Oreochromis niloticus: one gene and its partner. The protein of the gene in region 1 purifies or fractionates together with the protein of each later gene. This does not show direct contact. Links are inferred from orthologs where the notes say so. Each region holds a gene or a part of one and is shown on either strand. Other genes may lie near its edges.

The links.
Region 2: the proteins of snrpa1 (region 1) and cdc5l purify together in Homo sapiens (affinity purification with mass spectrometry; 5 studies listed by BioGRID and IntAct, counting the BioPlex papers as one, with this or other methods). This does not show direct contact. The link is inferred for Oreochromis niloticus from reciprocal best matches to the Homo sapiens genes SNRPA1 and CDC5L.

Annotation. Positions count from the first base shown.
Region 1 is NW_020327524.1:104,293-115,389, forward strand, and holds the start of snrpa1 (U2 small nuclear ribonucleoprotein A'), read left to right. Parts: upstream 1-6,500; 5' UTR 6,501-6,612; coding exon 6,613-6,694; intron 6,695-8,816; coding exon 8,817-8,964; intron 8,965-11,097. UniProt on the Homo sapiens protein: Involved in pre-mRNA splicing as component of the spliceosome. Associated with sn-RNP U2, where it contributes to the binding of stem loop IV of U2 snRNA.
Region 2 is NC_031978.2:5,909,815-5,920,816, forward strand, and holds the start of cdc5l (cell division cycle 5-like protein), read right to left. Parts: upstream 4,064-11,002; 5' UTR 3,882-4,063; coding exon 3,837-3,881; intron 3,368-3,836; coding exon 3,264-3,367; intron 3,094-3,263; coding exon 2,932-3,093; intron 2,796-2,931; coding exon 2,668-2,795; intron 2,474-2,667; coding exon 2,374-2,473; intron 2,238-2,373; coding exon 2,111-2,237; intron 2,006-2,110; coding exon 1,914-2,005; intron 1,684-1,913; coding exon 1,539-1,683; intron 1,424-1,538; coding exon 1,232-1,423; intron 236-1,231; coding exon 87-235; intron 1-86. Other genes in the region: napba (N-ethylmaleimide-sensitive factor attachment protein, beta a), read right to left, coding at 9,765-9,917, 10,590-10,658, 10,817-10,921.

The DNA.
Region 1 (11,097 bases):
GGTTTTTCACGAAGGGTCGCTAGCCGCGCTAGCTAGCTAAGCTAGCGGCGCTAGCTAGCTAGCCAGCCGGCTATCAGCAACACGTAAGAGAACTGTTGCTAAATAAACTACACCTAAACTCGGTTTATATCTGACCCAAATAGAGTGCAGGTCATAACTTCTTACCTGAAATTCAGTTCACCTCACGCTCCTGCCTTCGCTTTCCCTGATCCATGATTGACCTCCGCGTTAGCAAACACCAGACGATCGGCGGTAGCCTCACCGCCTTGTATGTCTCGTTCGCGGCATGTCCTTTCTGTCACACACCGGTGGATAGCTGCCCTCTGTTGTAGCTCCACCACCAAACAACTCAGTTATTTTTTCCACATCGACCAGCATCATCGGCCCATATAAACGAAAAATAAGTCCAGCTAAGACACAGACCCTTGCTGAGCGATATGGGCGATTAAACAAATTTTAGCCACCTCACTATCAGCCAAGCCTGGGTGGTTTTTCACGAAGGGTCGCTAGCCGCGCTAGCTAGCTAAGCTAGCGGCGCTAGCTAGCTAGCCAGCCGGCTATCAGCAACACGTAAGAGAACTGTTGCTAAATAAACTACACCTAAACTCGGTTTATATCTGACCCAAATAGAGTGCAGGTCATAACTTCTTACCTGAAATTCAGTTCACCTCACGCTCCTGCCTTCGCTTTCCCTGATCCATGATTGACCTCCGCGTTAGCAAACACCAGACGATCGGCGGTAGCCTCACCGCCTTGTATGTCTCGTTCGCGGCATGTCCTTTCTGTCACACACCGGTGGATAGCTGCCCTCTGTTGTAGCTCCACCACCAAACAACTCAGTTATTTTTTCCACATCGACCAGCATCATCGGCCCATATAAACGAAAAATAAGTCCAGCTAAGACACAGACCCTTGCCGAGCGATCGGGCGATTAAACAAATTTTAGCCACCTCACTATCAGCCAAGCCTGGGTGGTTTTTCACGAAGGGGCTAGCTAGCCGGCTATCAGCAACACTTAAAAGAATTGTCGCTAATATGGGATGTCTTGATAAAACGAGCAGATATTTGAAGTTTACACACCTACATTCTCGCCTGAAAATATCTTAAAAGTGCATTTTGTGACCTAGAAACACGAATAAAAGACATATAAAACGAAGTGGTGTCCGCCATTGTTTGACTCGGTAGAGGCATGCTATGAATTGTGGGATATGTAGTTTTCACCAAGCATGGCACCCTTTAGGCCGTACTACTCCCGGTATACCACTAGAGAGAGCCAACACACCACAAATGAAGTCTGTTTCTATGGTGCCAAAAGCAGAATCTTTCTCAGGAGCCTAGAAATTGGCCTAAATTTGCACTAAAATCTAAATATTTCAAAAAGTATAAAAGTTATGAACACCAAAAGTCACACCATACTAGCCCAGCTCCAGCCGCACAAAATGATGTAACATATGTACCCCTATTGTCAAAACTGTTTGGCAGAGGAGCGCGGGAAAATTTTCACTAAAATATTAATATTTTAAAAACTATAATAGTCATAAACACCAAAAGTCATAGCACACCATTCCAGATCCAGCCGCACAAAATGAGGTAACATATATGAAGCTTTTCTCAAAACTGCGGGGCGTGATACGTGCCGAAATTTAGGCGGAAGATGGAGAATAATAATAATAATAAGAATAATAAATCCGAGGAATAGTAATATGTGTGCCTCTTGGCATAGGCACACATAATTAAGAAAGATAGAACCAAGAAAAAAAAAACAAGAAAAGACAAAGACAGACTATGCTAAAAAATGTGATGCCACAGCACTAGTCAAATTGGTCAAGAGTAATAAGAATGGCGAACTGTGTTTAAATTATGTCACAAAATGTCAATGATGAAATATACAGTGTTTATTTCCTGGTTAGTCTGTAGTGGCTCCTGAAAAGCAAGTCTACCACACCGTCACCAATTTGACTGAGAGCTCAAAGCTCAGTGACAAGAACGCCTGACTCCGGGTCAGAGGTAGTAAAAGTACAGACATTCTCCACTTATCTGTTCTTCCACTTAAGCTGAAGAACAGATATTTTTGTTAAAAAATGCTCCAGTAAAAGTACTGATTTAACATCTTTACTCAAAAGTGAAATAGTATAGTCCTTGAAGTGTAGCTTCTCAAAGTACGTAATCATTCTCCATCTCTGACAGAAGTTAGCTCTCATTCTTTTCTCTCCCTGGAAATACAGCAGCTGGACCTTTATCCAGCAACACACTGTGCAACAAATTACACAGGAACTAGAGGTGGGCAGATTGATCCAAATATCGACAGTATCGATACCAACACTGGTATCAGTATCAGACTGATACTAATGCAATTGGATTGAATCTTTTTTCTATCCTCAGTTTTCAGTATGAATCCCACTGAACTGTGTTAAATACATTTTTAGTGTATTTTTAAAAATATTTTTTAATGAAAAAATATAGCTCAAAATAGTATATAGCACAAATGGTAAAATGGTAAATGGCCTGTATTTGTATAGCGCTTTACAAGTCCCTAAGGACCCCAAAGCGCTTTACACACCCAGTCATCCACCCATTCACACACACATTCACACACTGGTGATGGCAAGCTACATTGTAGCCACAGCCACCCTGGGGCGCACTGACAGAGGCGAGGCTGCTGAACACTGGCACCACCGGGCCCTCTGACCAGGGCCCGGGCCCTCTGAGTTACACAAGCTCCCTTTATAGGTTAAAACTATCAGTATCACTAAATTAAGGAAAGTATTGGTATTGGCAATACTTTCCTTAATTTATTTTGTACTGGATCGATACCAAAATTTGTAGTATCGCACAGCACTAACAGGAACAGTTTGTGTGTTTGCTCATGTTTTTTGAGCTGACAGAAATGTTTTAGAAACGTTATGTCACTGCTCCAGAAATGACCAAATGACGTGTTTTCACTATTTGTTAAATTCTCTTGCAAATACCAGCTGTACATTTTGGGCGTCTACTAAAATAAAAATAAAAGAATCCTAACATCAGACCCGTTTTTTTAAAAATTCATTAAGTAGCATGAGCTGTGTACACATGTGTAATGTATTTATTGTGTTTTAGTGTTTTACTATGAGTGTTTAACTGTATTTAGCTAATTAGACAGATCATATAAATCTCTGGATGTTTACAATGGCCATGAATACTAAAGGCAGGAAGTCTTTTCTGCAACCTTTCCCAATTGTTTCACATTGATGATCTTTTTCTAGCCAATCATTTGTGCTGAAAAATACAAATGTTAATTGAAGAAAATGCACATATTAATCACAGTAAAATTACGAGGGGCAGTAAAAACACTGAACACAGAACGCAAGTACGGACTTGCGTAATCAAGTATTGGACGAGAGACAGCGGTAAGAGGAAAGGAGGGGGACTGGCAGTGTTTGTGAATGACAGATGGTGTAACCCTGGGCACATCACTGTAAAAGAACAACTCTGCAGCAGAGACATTGAGCTGTTAGCCATTAGCATGCGTCCGTACTACCTGCCCCGGGAATTCTCGCATGTTATCGCGATAACAGCGTATGTCCCCCCCTCGGCCAACACGGATGCAGCCTGTGACACTCTCCACTCAGTGGTCAGCAGACTGCAAACACAATCTCCGAGAGCCCTTCTCATAATATCAGGGGACTTCAATCATGCCTCACTGGACTCCACACTGCCCACCTTCACCCAGTATGTGACCTGCCCAACCAGAGACAATAAAACACTGGACTTACTGTATGCCAATGCAGAACAGGCATACAGTTCATCACCTCTCCCTCCCCTGGTCAGATCTGATCATAACCTGGTGCACCTTGTCCCTGTGTATGAGCCCTTAGTGCGCAGGGAGCCACCAGCCACCCGCACAGTGCAGAGATGGTCGGAGGAGAGCGAGGAGGCTCTTAAGGATTGTTTTGAGTCCACTGTGTGGGAGGTGATCTGTGACGACCACGGAGAGGACATCGACAGCCTTACTACATGCATTACTGACTATATTAATTTCTGTGTGGACAACACCGTACCTACCAGGACTGTACGGTGTTTCTCCAACAACAAACCTTGGATTACTCCAGAAATTAAAGCTGTCCTCAAGCAGAAGAGGAGGGCCTTCAAATCCAAAGACAAAGAGGAGTTTAAAAGGGTGCAGAGAGAGTTGAGGGGACTGATAAGGAATGGGAAGGATAGCTACAGGCAAAAGATGGAGAACCAGCTTCAGCAAAACAACGTTGGTGAAGTCTGGAGAGGCCTCAGAACCATCTCAGGCCACAAACATCACAACTCTCTGCCTGGGAGGGATGTGAGGTGGGCAAATGAACTGAATCATTTCATTCATTCATTTCTTCAACAGATTTGATTCAGCCATGAGGCAGTCTCCAACATCGGCTGCAGACTCACCCACCCCCACTGCTGCTGTTCCACCTCAGACACTTCACACCTCCTCTATTCACCCTGCTCACTCCTCCCAACCCCCAACAACAGCATCCAATACACACTCAACACAAGGCTCCAGCCTGTCTCTCTCAACCACCCAGGTTAGGAGGGAACTGAGGAGGATTAAAGCCAAGAAGGCAGCGGGTCCAGATGGCATCAGCTCGAGGGTCGTCAGGTCCTGCGCTGACCAACTGTGTGGGGTGATGGAGCACCTCTTCAACCTGAGCCTGAGGCTGGGAAGAGTCCCACAGCTCTGGAAAACCTCCTGTGTTGTTCCAGTGCCAAAGACTTCACGCCCCAAGGACCTCAACAGCTACAGGCCGGTGGCTCTGACATCCCACCTGATGAAGACCCTGGAGCGGTTGGTCCTGGCTCAGCTTCAGCGCCTTGTGAGCTCATCACTGGACCCACTTCAGTTTGCCTACCAACCTGGCATTGGAGCGGATGATGCCATCATTCACCTCCTACATCGTTCCCTCGCTCACCTGGAGACCACTGGGAGCACTGTGAGAATCATGTTCTTTGATTTCTCCAGTGCCTTCAACACTATTCTTCCCTCGGTTCTGAAGGACAAGCTGGAGAACTCTGGAGTGGACCATCACCTCACTACCTGGATTTTGGACTACCTCACCGACCGACCACAGTATGTGAGGACTCAGGGCTGTGTGTCGGACAGGGTCGTCTGCAGTACGGGGGCCCCACAGGGAACGGTTCTGGCTCCGTTCCTCTTCACCATCTACACTGCAGACTTCTCCCACAACTCCACCCAGTGCCTACTGCAGAAGTTCTCTGATGACTCTGCAATAGTCGGCCTCATCACTGATGGGGACGACAAGGAGTACAGAGGACTGACTCAGGACTTTGTGGACTGGTGCCAGCTGAACTACCTCCAGATCAATGCCAGTAAAACCAAGGAGCTGGTGGTAGACTTCCGCAGGCACAAACATCCTCCACTGCAACCACTGAACATCCAAGGTATGGACATTGAGGCTGTGGACAGCTACAGGTACCTTGGTGTTCATCTGAACAGCAAACTGGACTGGACTCATAACTCAGACGCCCTCTACAGGAAAGGGCAGAGCAGACTGTATCTGCTGCGGAGACTCAGGTCGTTTGGAGTAGAGGGCCCACTCCTGAAGACCTTCTATGACTCTGTGGTGGCCTCAGCCATCTTTTATGGTGCGGTCTGCTGGGGTGGCAGCATCTCTGCTGGGGACAGGAAGAGACTGAACAGGCTGATCCGAAGAGCCAGCTCTGTTCTAGGATGCCCTCTGGACCCAGTGGAGGTGGTGAGTGACAGGAGAATGGCGGCTAAGCTGTCATCCCTGTTGGACAACATCTCCCACCCCATGCAGGAGACTGTGACAGCACTGAGCAGCTCCTTCAGTGGGAGACTGCGGCACCCACGGTGTGGGACGGAGAGATTTCGCAGGTCTTTCCTCCCCACTGCTGTCAGACTCCACAACAAAGACTTTAACTGATCAAACACACACATCCACACATGTGCAATAACACTAATGTGCAATAATCTTTTCTGGCATCGTTGTATTTTTACTCAGTTGTATATAGCATTTGTATTCTATTTTTATCTTATTGTATATTTTATTCTATTTTATTCTACTGTATATAGTATTTTATTTTATTCTATTCTGTACAGTTGTGTACTGTATTTATTCTTATTTTATTTTATTCTAATTTTTGCTTCATAACTTTTGCACTGTCCACTTCCTGCTGTGACAAAACAAATTTCCCACGTGTGGGACTAATAAAGGTTATCTTATCTTATCTTATCTTATCTTATTGTCAAACGGCAAGTGTCGACACACTTGTGCCACACACTCCACGAGGCGTCATCTACCCGTCACTGTTAGTAAAGTGCTTAAAACAAACGAACAAACAGATCCTATTATGCCCGACAGGCAAAATCTACCGGGTCACGTCCCTCAGTTAGGACCATTCCTAAGCAAAGTGGAAGGATCAAAAAACGAAATGTGCATGCAACACCACCCTCCCTCCGCGGGAGGCGCTATAAAAAATAAAGCAAACGTTGTCGCCACGTGATAGGAAAGATGTAAACCTTTTGTTCCGGGCTGCTTGGTGTAGCGGTGTACACTCGCTTTGCTGTGAATTTAGGAGACGTGATAAGGTTCCTTTTTGTTCGTTGAGATGGTGAAGTTGTCCGCGGAACTTATTGAGCAGGCTGCTCAATATACAAATCCCGTGAGAGACAGAGAGTTGGATTTAAGAGGTGAGTTAAATTGTCCTTAATACAGCATACATAGAAAGGCCTGTGCTCATTAGCTTACGCACATTTTACGCGGGCCTTAACGTGAGCCTCATTCAAAAACTTAACTGGATAGTGTTCAGTTTCATACGAACTGCTGCAGAAATAATGCTGGCTTATGTCTAGACACAACAAGGCGGATTTCATCATAATGTACTGTATATTAAAAGGGTAAATTGAGTCATTCCATCTGAAATCTTAGAGAAAATAAAAACCCATAACATTTTCTGCTCAGCCAACTCAGATTTGCCTGAAAATTGTATGTTTTAAAACGTTTGTAATAATTGCGATTAAATTTTGTCTTCATATATGAAGACTATGAAGACTTAATATAAATTTGGTTTCAGGGTATTTTAGGTGAATTGAAATCTGAGAATATGTTTGAACATAAATATCTCTGAAGATAAAATTTGTGCGTTTTCTCACCAAAAAATGTAATTGTGGTCAGCTAGTATGGGCTACAAATCCCATCATAACAAACAAAAACATACATTATTAAAAACATTCTTGATTATATTTGAATAATCTGTTAATTCAGGTTACATCATCACCAAGCTGCATTCTGATAGCACTTAAGGGCAAGCAAATGTTTGCATTCATAGAAAGAGAAAACCCACGGTAAAATAATTGGATATACAAAATGATTGTAGATGATTGTTGTCAGAGCTGACATAGTTATCTGCACACATTATGTGTGTGTTAGTGAGGAGCCGTGATAAGGTTCCTGTCAATCTGCCCCAGGGCAGCTGTGGCTACAACTGTAGCTTGCCTTCACCGGTGTATGAATGTGAGAGTGAATGAATAGTGGTATTGTAAAGCGCTTTGAGGGATCCCGAAAAGCGCTATATAAATGCAATCCATTATTATTATTATTATTATTATTATTTTAACTGGATGACTTTTAATCTGCTATTAATCGCATTATATGCATAATTCCATAATGAGTTAAAAAGTTGTGTATTGTATTTTAGTACTATTGCTATATGAGCAGTCAGATACTTTCAGGATATTTTTCTTGTTTTATTTATTTTTTTACATATGCTTTTTAACAGCAGTATTCCTGCTGCGCAGTAGCAGTTAAAGTAGCTCTTTAATTTCACCTTAACCATGAACCTGATCTAATAAAATCAAATAGTTATTTGTCAATTACAGGGCATTGACATTTTGTCTAGTTTGTTTTAGAAAAACAAGTTACCCTCAGTTCAATGTCACAATTATAACATTACAAACAAAACATGTTACTTCAAGAGATGTTCCTGTATTATTAAAATGTGACAAATTAACACCCAAAAAACGAATAAATTGCGACTGAGAAGTGTGGTGCCTTGTGTTGTGCATTGTGAGTAATGGCCATTATTCTACAATTCATGGAAACCATTTTAATAAAAGTTAAAATCTAAAATAAAATAATTCATCCAGCTATTTTCTTCTGCGTATCTGAAATCAGGTCGCGGGGCCTAAGCAGTTAAACCCAGACCTCTCTCTTGCAAATCGCTCCCTCTAGCTTATCCAGGGAAAACACTGAGGCATTTCCAGGCCAGCCAAGAAAGCCACCATGTCCTGGATCTACCCTGGGGCCTCCTCCCAGTAGGACATGCCCAGCCAGAACACCTTACCCAGGAGGCAACAGGCTCAATGGCTCCTTTTGATGTGCAGAAGTAGCAGCTCTACTTCGAGCCCCTCCCAAATGACTGAACTCATACTATGCTGAGAGAGAGCTAATGCACCCTTTGGAGAAGGTTATTGGCCAGTTATAGGCCAATACTGTGCCTTAGCATGGAAACTCCTGTCATGCATCATAGCAGGCAAGATGAGCAGGCTCAAAACACGAGTAGGGCCCTGAAGGGAACTGACAGAAACACCACGGGGGGAAAAGATCGGCTACTGGTAGAGCATCGAGCTGTGAATTGTGATGAATTGATATCACTCTCACTCCTGTGCCAGGAGTGAGAGTGATATCAATTCACTGATCTACAACAATGATATCAGAATGTCATTTGGAACAGAGATGTGTAGTCAGATAGTAGCAAAGAAAGGGAAGATGCTATCTGTATTTTAATTATTTTATTTTTTTGTTTTCGCCCAGGTTATAAAATCCCAGTGCTTGAAAATCTTGGAGCTACTCTGGATCAGTTTGACACTATAGATTTCTCTGATAATGAAGTCAGAAAATTGGATGGCTTCCCTTTGCTTAAAAGACTGAAAACCTTGCTAATGAACAACAACAGGATTTGGTAAGTTAGAGGTGTGTGTGTCTGTGTACGTGTGTTATTGAAAAAAATAACACTGCAACCACTGTTGTCTTCACCCGATACCCTGGTTGTATTATAAGGTGCTCAAAGGAGGAGATATTGACATAAAGACAAAACTCCATACCATGCATGAAGGATTACATCTCAAATCCAGCACTCTGCAAACATATGCTTGCCGAAAGATGGCTGAAGACTGAGTGTCAGAACCACTATCCAGGGCGAAACAACAAAGCTCCTTGTGTAATCCAAGGGCATAAATGGAACACCATAACCAGATACCTGGGATAGCACTCGGCCATGGTGTCTGTTGCGTCTATTGGAGTGTGAATCTTTGCGCTTGGATAGAAAACAGTGGTTGTATGAAAAGCTATGGACAATGGGTCTAAGGATTTGGACTCATTGCCTCATCAGCTGAAGTAGGGGTGGGCGGTATAAAACGGTATATGGTAGAAACGATATAAATTTGGCCAACGGTAGAGATTTTGACTACCGCTCTACCGCAATCCGGTTGTTCAGTCTGACGTCACTGGCCGTGTCTGGGCCTAAACTCCGCTGCAGGTCCATATATCAAACGATCACTGTGGCATTACTGAGAGTTGAAAAACTGTCTAAAGTCTTTCATCTTTAATAAAATGATCAGTGTTCTGCTCTACCAGGTGTAACAATTGAGTTTAACATCCAGGCATCCATGAAAATGGAATTTATGACATTTAACGGCGTTAGAAGTTAGCTCGCTAGCTTCTATCTAAATACAATATAGCATGTCCTGACTGCGGGGTTTTGGAAAAAAAATTCAAACGTACAGCTCTGCTATAACTTCCAACATAAATGAAGACAGAAAACTAAACAGCAGTGACGTTTGTAGGGTTACTGAAGTTTGGCTAGCTGGTATATAATGATGTGCTACGTGACCGCTAGCGACACAGCTATGTTAGCATAACATAAACAAGCTAACTTTTTTTCCACTCGATAAAAGTTAACGTGAGTGTTCTCGGTGGTCAGGAACAAATGTAATCGCATGGCAGGATGCTGTAAAAGGACTAAACTTCAGCCAGGAGAACAAGTGAGATAATCCATCCACAATACGAGGTTAGTCATTCATATACTGCTGCATGGGCTGTGCTGTAGTTACATCGTAAGGTTTTAAAAACTGAGCTTAAATAAATGATTAGCGGTAATAAAAGCCGAGGGAGGTCAACAGTGATCACTGACTGTTTTAGGAGCTTTTTGAGATTAAATAGAAGAAAATACAAAACATTAAACATGTTAACAACACAAAAGCCATATTAAACGCAGACTACTTTAGGCCCGGAAGTAGGATTCGTCACGTCATCACTGAACAACCGGATAGCGCATGTTGATGGTGTCATCAAGCTGCGCCTGTTTTGGTCGAAAAAATTGCAGCGGCTGCAAACAGTCAGCCAAACAATCCGCTGCAAATTATGCTGGGTGACAGTAATAGCAAAGAGACGAAGCACTTTTGGAATATGGGGAAAGCTGAAAACTGCGCTTCATCCACTTCCGTACCATTGACTCATTAATGCTGAATTCTCTCACAGCTGCTCTATTCCCATGTTGTTGCAGTATATTAATGACTAACCTCGTATTATGGATGGATTATCGCAGTTGTTCTCCTGACTGAAGTTTGGTCCATTTACAGCATCCAGCCATGCAATTGCATTTGTCCCTAACCACCAGAAACCCTCACGTTAACTTTTATCGAGTGGAAAAACGTTGGCGTTCATCCTTCAGCTTCACTGTACTAATGTTATGCTAACATAGCTGTTTTGCTAGCCCAATCAACTTCAGAAACCCTACAAAAGTCACTGCTGTTTAGTTTTCTGTCTTCATTTATGTTGGAAGGGATAGCAGAGCTGTACGGATTTATTAAATTCAACTCAGTTGAATTTAATAAATCCTGTTTTCATGGATGCCTGGATGTTAAACTTAATTGTTACACCTGATAAAGCAGCAACGCTAATCATTTTATTAAAGATGAAAGAATTTACAGTTTTTAACTCTCAGTGATGCCACAGTGTTCGTTTGACTTTGGGACCTGAAGCAGATGGAGTTTTGGACCCAGATTACTCCGCAAGGCTCCTGACTATGGCAGCC
Region 2 (11,002 bases), on another chromosome or scaffold:
AGAGTAAATTAAAAAAAGAATTCAGTACTCTATTTAACTGACAGAGTGTAGACCTTATGCTATGTAACGGATTAAAGGTTTCTTACCTGAATGGTGTACTGAGAACAGTATTGGGCGTTTGTATCTGTTGACGCTGAGGCGTCACTCCACTGAAGTCGCTCTCATGCAGTGGGGTGTTGAGGCCTCCCTTCAGAGGGGTGTCGATGTTAGTCAGAGCCATCAGGTTCTGAGCTTCCTGAAAATAAAGACACACACACAGATGGTACAAATTAATTTACAGATAAATACTAAAAAACAAAAAGAAAGGAATTTAGTATCATTTCCATTCAATTTTATTTTAAATTTAAAAGGGAGCCAATGAAGAGAAGTCAATTTAGGAGAAATATGCTCTCTCTTTCTAGTCCCTGTCAGTACTCTTGCTGCAGCATTTTGGATTAGCTGAAGGCTTTTCAGGGAGTTTTTAGGACATCCTGATAATAATGAATCACAGCAGTCCAGCCTGGAAGTAATAAATGCATTACCTAGTTATTCAGCATCACTCTGAGACAGGATGTTTCTAAATTTAGAGACATTAGCCAAATGGAAGAAAGCAGTCCTACATATTTGTTTAATATGTGCATTGAAGGACATGTCCTGGTCAAAAATGAATTCAAGGTTCCTCACAGTGTTGCTAGAGGCCAAGGTAATGCCATCCAGAGTAAGAATCTGGTTAGATGCCGTATTTCTAAGATTTTTAGGGCCGAGTACAATAACCTCTTTCATCTGAATTTAGAAGCAGGAAATTAGTATCAATTTGTAATATTACATTTTTACTGACAACGATACTCCTTAATGCATACATAAAGGCAAATGCATAAATGACCCTAACAGATTGGTGGCCAAGTGATCAACACATAATATGTACATACATTTTTAAGCACTATCCTGTCTCTACTAACTTACGTTTATTATTATTATTTGGATTCACAATTCAAACAGCAGACTATAAGGTATTTTTCTGATGGAACCTGTATGATGTTCAAATGTGCAGACAGGACTGTGATTTCACATTGGCCCTCTAATTTTGACTGACTTTACTCTTTATTCATGTGGGACAATTTAGCTTAGCATCTCTGTAATTACATGGATCAATTAATATGAGATATCACATATATGCTGAAATCACACATACGGGATTATGTGAGATTGAAAAAGACATATGTGACACATTGCTTTTGAGTGTCTTTATTACCTGCATGATTCTGTCCTGAGCAGCAGGGGTTCGTGGGGTTCGTAGCCCTGTTGCCATGGTATTGGTGACACTGTATTCTGAGAGGAGGGTGGAGGAGGCGGAGTTAGCGCTTTCACTCTCCTCGGCAGCTTGACGGGCGACCTCACTGGCGACACCCAATTTGACAACTTCCTCCAACTCGACGTCACTGATCTGTGAAGAAAGCCAATTAAAGAACTTAATGTACTACCTGTTATCAATATAACAAGTACATTATATTGATATATAAAATCCAGAAGTAATAAAATTTTAAAAAAAAAGTGGTTACCTGTGGTGCGGGTAACACCAGTTTGGAACGTTTTTTGGTAAACTCAGCCACTCCACTGGTCTGCAGGATAGCAGATGGCAAGTCACTCTCCTTCTTCTTCTTTATCTTCTGTTTATCTTTCTTCCTCTCCCTCTCTTCAGTCTCACTATAATAATAATAATTTAAAAAAAAAACACAACAGGGCTTACGAATGGATGAAAACCAAAAAAATGTGGAACACATTTTGATCCTTATTATTTATATTATATACCATCAGCGTGACATTCTCACGCCTTTGCTGGGAGAAGTCAAGACCCAAGGAAAGTATTCAAGTGACATAAACAAGGAGCCATGTTAGCATACAGAAAAGCACCAGTAGTTTAAAGTGATACTAACTTGCGTAATTCTCCATCCAAGTGCTGCTGTCTGAGCCTCTTGAAATTAGGCTCCTGAGCATCATACTGCTCCATGCTGGTGTCATAGAAACCCTTAAAGTAAACAAAAGACAACAATTACTACTGTAAGATTAAGTTAATCTCACTGCTGATGTTGTGGGTTATTTTTAAGGATACAACACATAAAGCTGTGGTTACCAGTGCAGGTTTCTTTTCAAAAGGGATTTCAGCATTATAGTCTACTCCTCTCTTCTTCTTTCTCTTCTTCTGAACATCGATTCCTGCTGCTCTCAGCTCTCTGCGTTTCTGCAGAGCAGCCAGCCGCCTACAGTATGACACCAGGAAAAAAAGAGTCACATATGATCATTTTATTATTACATGTCAACTGCTCTGTAAGAGGTAAAGTTATGATAAATACAGCTTGTCTGAGGGCAATTGTAAAAGCATTAAATTAGCTGAACCTGGCTTCCTCCAGCTGTTTCTCTCTGGCCTTCCTCTTGGCTTTCTTGCCCTGGGTGTTGGCCAAACGAGCCCTGGCCTCTGAAAGCATCTCCAACTCATCTACAGACCGATGAAGACAGACAGACACACAAAACACATTGGTTAGTTACCACATATGACTGTTATGATTAATCTTAAATAATTAAATATAAAAATGTACAAGATAACTAGGAAGCAAATCCATTCTTAACACAAGGACACATTCTCTTGTTGGCTCGATAAATCTGACAGCATCTGACAGTGTGTTTTTGTACCTTCGTCCATATCCACAGGGTCAGGTCTGGCAGGTTTTGTTTCAGGATTGGGATCAATTTCTCCTGGTTTCAACTTTCTGGGGTCATCTCCCACTTCCTCCTCATTGTCTCTTTGAGCTGCTTTGTCCCTGAATAAAACACAAAATGCATCTCAATTACAAATCAGCAATGATTAGCAACAATGAATGCTCCTGGACATACAAGGTGAAAAGCCACAGAATTACAAAACATAGTGAATAAATGTGTCTTTAGAGATAAACATACAGCAGGTATTCGTAGTGTTCCAGACACTGAGCAGCAGTCCTTCCTATGATAGGAGCAATGGTCCTCCACTGGGTGGGCATCAGCTTGGCCAAGTGAAGCAGCTTCTCCTCCTCTTCTCTGGACCATTCTGTTTTCTTGATACTGGGGTCCAACCACTCGTACCTACAGACAGAAACAAAGCCAGAGGAGAAGGTCTTTATTTCGCTCTTCTTAAAGAGAGATTTGAAAGCTAAAAAAAAAATCACAGACAGAAGAAACAAACATCAATGTATGTAGAAGTTTAATTAATCTCATGTTTTTGACACATCACACATCTCTGACTCAAAACTCACCATCGGGCTTTACACTGTTTTGCAGACTTTCGGTGCAGCAGGGAGGCGATACGGGACCACTGGTTTTTCCCATATTTCATTACAGCTGCCTTGAGGATCTCATCCTAAATAAATTTTTAAAGAAGGAACAGACGTCCATAAATTAAATGGATGTACTAAATGACAAATGATTTAATCAGACTAAACATGTCAAAACCCTTTATCCTCAATCCGCAGTGGGCTGATTCATTTTCATCCCAGTGCTGAAAAACAATTATATTATCCCCTATCTTTTGCTCACTTATAAAAATTTATGAAGTCTTGTGGTTTGTTATTTTGGCCATCTAGATTGCCAAATATTCGCTAACTGTAAACATGTATGTTTAAGTGCAAATTAAAAAGCTTCGTGCATACAACTCAACACAAGCACGAAATAAAGTCTTAAAACACAGCTGGCGATAATTTAAATAAACTTTAAATGCCACACGGGATAAATTCGTTAAGTGAGTAGCTAGCTTCATGCTAACTCGAGACCATAGGTTTGCTTTCGGAGTTTAGCATCATGCTAACCAAGCTAGCCATGTAAACACGTACCTCAGTGTTGCGCCAGACGCCTCCTTTAATCATAATTCGCGGCATCTTGGCGGCTTCGTTGTATCTCCTCCTTCAGTGAAATGCTATAAGTGATTCTTATCCAGCTGTGGTGTTTTGTAGCTTTAGATTAAAACAAAACAAAAATCCAACTACAAACCAAGCGCTGCGAGGGAAAAAGCGACATGCACCATACCGGAAACTCACAACGGGTGCACCACATGAATTGTGGGTAATGTGGTCGACGAGTAATGACGAAATTCGATGACAGTTTCCTTTACCACCTCCCCTTTCACAACTTGATAAAACAGACAAAGGCAAATATCTATGAAAAGCACTCACCATAGAATTAATACATGTTAAAAAATAAATAAATACATTTACTAACTTATAAAATTATTAAAAATTGTAATAAAAATGTATATATAAATCTGAACATTTAAACATAAATAACTCGTATAAGAAAATAAAAAATGAATTAATTTTTAAAAACACCTTTGGAAAAAAACGTCTTGATGCATTCTCAATCATCCAGGAAAGTAAATCTCCAAAAGTTGAATCTGTTCATCTGGACGTAGCGTTTTGTGGGAGAAACGTTTCGTCACTCATCCAAGTGACTTCTTCAGTCTCAGCTGACTGCAGGTTTCCCCAAACCTTATAAACAGGACATTTGCATAATGACTGAAACCAGCCCACTGAAGGAACAATGGGCTGTGCGGTCAGTTCCTTAATCATAATTATGCAAATTCCCATGCAAATGTACTGTTTATAAGGTTTGGGGAAACCTGCAGTCAGCTGAGACTGAAGAAGTCACTTGGATGAGTGACGAAACGTTTCTCCCACAAAACGCTACGTCCAGATGAACAGATTCAACTTTTGGAGATTTACTTTCCTGGATGATTGAGAATGCATCAAGACGTTTTAACCCACTTTGGCAAGGACTGCCTAAAGCTTGTACTTCAGTATGAGCAAACAGCACGTAAGATGGCGGACTACAGGAACCACCTGAGATTCAGCCTCAGATGCCGACAAAACAGGATTACTCCTAAAAGTCTGCAAATGAGCTCTTCAGTTAAAGGCTTCCGGGCAACAAAAATCCTCCAGAAGGCACAGCATCAGTTGCTTAATGAACGGGTGAGGCAGACAAATTTTACCATCGACATGCTAAAATCTCAAGAGGAGCGGATCCGACGGAGACTGACTATGCTTTTAGATGAGAATACTCTTCAAAAGGTCTTTGACTTCACTGAGAAGGCTCGTCTAGCACAGCACAAGAAGTCTAAGACCAGGCAACAAAGGAAGTTCGACTTACTTGTTGTACGTCGGAAACCACCGCAAAATACGGAGAGTGTCCTCAGTGGCCAGAAGAGACAAGGATGCAACATGGAGGATGTGGACAAGTGGGTGAAGAATTTGTCTGACAGACAGCTCACCCAAACAGAGAAAAACATCCTTGCTAAAGGGTTGAATTTTGCTGTCACACCGAGAAAAATCCCGCTAGTGGAGCTGATCACAGCCACAGAATCAGCAATTCGTAACAACAATATTTCAGAAGTGGAAGCAGAGCAACTACGGACGAAAGTTTCGGCCTATCTCAGCAATGCAAAGCCCCCAGCATCCAACATCTCCATGGAGGAGAGGAAGGCACTCACATCACTTAGTGATGACAGCAACATTATCATCCTTCCGGCAGACAAGGGTAGGTGCACAGTATTGCTTAACCAGAAAGACTATCATGAGAAGATTTTGTCACTACTCAGTGATGAAAATACTTATGAGCCCCTGAAACGAGACCCAGGAAGTGGTTACAGGAAGAGGGTGATAGACTGTCTGAAGCAGTTAGAACAAGACAAGGCTATTGACTGGACCTCATACCACAGGCTGTACCCAGGGGAGTCTACACCAAGTCTGTATGGTTTACCGAAAATACATAAGCAGGGTGCACCTTTAAGACCAATTGTCTGCATGATCAACTCGGTCACCTATAACATCTCCAAGTTTCTGGCTTCAATCCTCAACCCGCTGGTGGGCAGCTCTGAACACCACATCCAGAACACCCTGGATTTTGTTGAGAAGGTGAGAGATGTCATTATGGAGGCAGATGAAACCATGGTCTCGTACGACGTTACATCTCTCTTCACTTGCATCTCAGTCACGGAAGCGTTGGAGGTAGTCCGTAAGAGATTACAGGATGACACCAACCTCAGCAACAGGACCACTCTCAGCATCGACCAAGTGTGTTTGCTTTTGGAACTGTGTCTTCATTCCACCTACTTCACATACAAGGGTCAGTTCTACAGGCAGAATCATGGGTGTGCCATGGGCTCCCCAGTTTCACCCATCGTGGCCAATTTGTACATGGAAGAAGTGGAAAAGAGGGCTTTGCTATCCTACCCTGGAACACCACCAAGCCATTGGTTCAGATATGTGGATGACACCTGGGTGAAAATCAAATCTCAGGACGTACTACACTTCATGGATCACATTAACTCGGTGGACCGACACATCAAATTCACCAGGGAGGATATGAAAAGTGGCAGGTTAGCCTTCTTAGACTGTGAGATTTCCATCAGTAATGGGGGACATCTAAAAGCTGACGTGTACCGTAAACCTACACATACGGATCAGTATCTAAGGTTTGACTCTCATCATCCACTGGAGCACAAACTGGGTGTCATCAGGACACTACAACACAGAGCGAACACCATCCCCACAGACACAGCGGCCAGGGAGGCAGAAGAACAGCACATCAAGAAGGCCCTGAGTAAATGTGGCTATCCCAGCTGGACTTTTGTCAAAGCTGGAAAGACACCCAAAGAAAGCTCCAGCCGATCCAGGAGAGAAGGACAACCGCTGCCCAGGCGAAAACCTGTGGTGATCCCATATGTGTCAGGAGTATCGGAGCAGTTGAGACGCATTTTTTCGAAACACCGGGTCTCTGTGGCTTTTAAACCCCAAAATACGCTGCGCCAAAAACTGGTCCACCCCAAGGATCGGGTCCCCCGACACAAACAGAGTAACATAGTGTACGCTGTTAAGTGCCAGGAGGATTGCCAGGATTTATACATCGGGGAAACCAAACAACCTCTGGCGAAGCGGATGGCACAACACAGAAGGGCTACCTCGTCAGGCCAGGACTCTGCAGTCTATTTACACCTACAGGCCAGAGGACACTCTTTCAAGGATGAGGATGTACACATCCTGGACAGGGAAGAACGCTGGTTTGAGTGCGGAGTCAAGGAGGCCCTTTACGTGAAAAGGGAAAGACCATCTCTGAATCGAGGAGGGGGCCTAAGGGTACATCTTTCGCCATCTTACACTGCTGTGATTGCAGCCATTCCCCAACTCTCTGTGAATGGGACTCATGGCCATTGATCAGTGTTCTTTGATCAGTGGGTTTTGGTCAGTGATTGTTGATCAATGGTCATGGGAATTTGCATAATTATGATTAAGGAACTGACCTCACAGCCCATTGTTCCTTCAGTGGGGTGGTTTCAGTCATTATGCAAATGTCCTGTTTATAAGGTTTGGGGAAACCTGCAGTCAGCTGAGACTGAAGAAGTCACTTGGATGAGTGACGAAACATTTCTCCCACAAAACGCTACGTCCAGATGAACAGATTCAACTTTTGGAGACCTTTGGAAAACATATTCTCTGTGTATACACATTTTCATTTAATGAGAGCATATCTATTATTCCATATTGGTGTTACATGTAGCATGAAAATATGTTTCTCAACCAGTTTCGAATAGATAGGAACCGTTGATATGTAAGTTCCTGGATTCAAAGCATAATAAAAAGTCTATCCCTCCTAAATTTTGAAATGAAAAAGCAAATAAGGTATGTTAAACCAAAAATAACGGTCTACTATTAAGAAAAGGTTTTAACCATTTTAACTTTAAAACAACCAACACCAGGTGGCATCTGTCATTCTGACAAGACTTGCATATGTCGAGACATTATGTCATTAAAGGTTATCAGGCAATCAAAAGAAATGTGCAGGATGGTCAGCAGAGTACAGCTGAGACACAAGGTCTGATGCAGTGTCCTGCTGACCATTTGAGTGGATGAGGAAATACACAGCTGCTTGCTGTCTGGAACTCAAAGTCCCACAGGACCTTACCTCTGTTGTTGTCAGTCACCTTTGTGGTGTCTCCCATAGGGACTTGGGGACTTTTAGTCCGTATGTGGCACAGATGTTCCTCACCACTTGGTTGTGCCTCTCAGTGTATGCGGTCTCAGTTTGCATCTTACAGTCTGGCAAGATGTGTTTGATAGTCTGCAGGGCACCTTTGCACAGTCTGCAACTTGGGTCCTGTCATGTGTGGTAGACTCCTGCCTCTTTGGATGCAGTACTTATGGCCTCTTCTTCTGCTGCCATGATCAGAATTTCTGTGCTGTCCTTTAAGCAGGCCTTTTCAAGCCACTGGTAGGATGTCTTGGCTTCAGCCATTTCCTCTATCAGTCAACAGCACATCACATGTAAAAGCTTGGTCTTCTATTGCGGTTCCTTTTCCTGTTCTGCATATATATATGAAACAAATATTCTCTGAACACAAAAGCTAAATATGACCCTCCTTACCATTCCTTGTTGAACTGTGCTGAGTGTTGCAGAATTCATCTTGGTGTATCCACCTACCTTTGGGAGAAACCTGATTGACTCAATCTCACCTATGACTAAAATCCATTTCAGATCCTAGCTTCCAAAATCTGTAACTGCACCAATACCTACCACGGAGACACAAGTTCTATTTAGGAATGTGCCTATGTTATGTTATTAAAGTGAATGTAGTGTATTTATTTTCCTTTATTTATATTTATTTTCATGAGATATTCTTCTTTCTCAGTGTTCTCGTCTTCTGGCCTGTGGTCTGTTTCCATATTCTAAATAAACACCCAGATACTTGGAGCGCTGATGTTTTTATTCAACTCGGTCTCTGAAGTACATATTTACTGATTTCACACAAATGATACGAGGCTACATGTATGTTCTTCACACATTAGCACAACACGGAGAACACTTACAACAACATGACAGTAGACATGCACAAAACAAGGCAGTGACAGGAGTCAGCACTGGTGGCTTACTGTGCCGAACCACCACTGGCCTGAACACAAAGAGCCAACCAATCACAATGGGTGATTTCACTGATTTGACAGGGTGTGGGGATGCGGAGAGGACAGTGAGACAGAGGAGGAGGAGGAGAAGAAGTAAAGGAGAAAGGAGAAGGAGAGAGAGCTGAGGGGCTAATACCTAAAATAGTAAGACAAATCATAACACTGAGCACCATAATAAACAATACATATGTTCAGTATTGACAATAAATATCAGAAATCTCATAAATAATATTTCTCAATATTGTTTTTTTTAATAACATATTTCCTTAAATCTCATTTAAGCTGCAAACTTTCCCATCAGACAGTTTCATTAACCTTTCTGGTGTGGACACACACTCTTTCTCTTTCACACACACACACACACACACACACACACACACACTCTTTCTCTTTCACACACACACACACACACACACACACACACACACTCTTTCTCTTTCACACACACACACACACACACACACACACACGTTTTCTTTCCACTCTTACTTTTAAGTACAATTCTGTCCAGTGTTACGAGAGCAATACTGCAGGACCAGGAGACACAGGGTGATCTTAAGGTGATTTAAAGGTGATGCTTAGCTCATTGGGGGGCAGGTCACATGCAGACTGATATGTACAACTGTAAACTCCTTCACCTCCCACCCTCTTTCATCTTTCTGCCTTTACTTTATTCTACTTTTACACATCCATTAAGATACATGCCTGTCTCTTGTCCCATCATTTAATCCCCTCCACTCTCATCTTCCTTCTCTCTTCAATGGCCCCTTCCCCTATTCCCCCCCTTTGCTCTCTCCCCTCTTCTAATTGTGTCTATTTCAGGTCCCCAGCGTCCCCCTGGATGGTTTTCTTGATGCGTAGCAACATCGTGGTCAGCCACTGGTCCAGGCGAGACACAGAATCAAACTCCTTCACGGCCTCCGTGAACGCCTCGCTATTCTGCTCCTCGTGGGCTTCTAGCAGTTTCTGTTGCACAGAGGAGTGGCGAATAGGCGAATGTTCATGGGAAAAAACACACAAATGGCACAATTAAGCTCTGATTAGTAGCAGCAGTGTTTTTAATGATCATATTCTGTGGGCTTTGCTTCCCATCATAATGTTATTATGACTATTTACATTAAATACTATTGAAAGAAATCTACATGTTTGATTTCAGTGTCTAAACTTAACTAAAGGTGCAATATCTGAAGACATATCAACTGAAGTTGGAGTAAGGCTGGGCTGTACCTTTGTGTAATGCCAGTTTGAACCACAAGATGGTGCACTAAGCCAATGCAATTGTTATTTAATCACGTAAGTCAAAGATGGAGAGCTACAAAAATATACAAACTTAAATATCAATAAACATTTGAAAACATTTCAATGCATCCACTAGTAAACAGCTCCCCCTGGTGGTGAAAAGTTTAGTCCAAACCTTTGCAGAGGTTAAAAACAAAAATTACATTTACATTTTCCAGGAATTTCCTTCATAAATCATTGTCTGCTTGTTGTAAAGACAGTTTTACTTTATTTTTCATAAAATTATTGTTTCAGTGTAACAGATTTTATAAACCATTAAAACCTTGCATAAATGCATAAATACAATATTTATGCAAACTTAGAAAGTTATGTTGAAAAAAACAAGAAAAGGTAATTTACCTTTAACAGTTTGAGCTCTCTGGAGTCTGAGAAGGCTGGAAACATCTCTTCATACTTCTCGATGGCCAACTGAAACACACAGGCGTTAGTGTTAAGGGTACGTGTAAACTGATTTCTGCTAAAATAAACAATTAAGCATGAAACCCGACCCACAAATACATTAGATTCAGTCTGCATGTGTCTGTGCGGACTCAGTGGCTGGCTATAGTTGTTGTTTGTTGTGTTACCTTGGCATTGAGCTCATCTACAATGAAATGACAGAGCGATGCCTTAAAGAAATACTCTTTTGCGTTGTACTTGAGTAGGGGATTGTCCATGGTGCTCATTGCAACCTAAAACACACATGGAGGCACAAACATTAACCAAAGTGGGCAAATGTCATAAACGACCAGTTTTTAAAAACACTCTCTTTA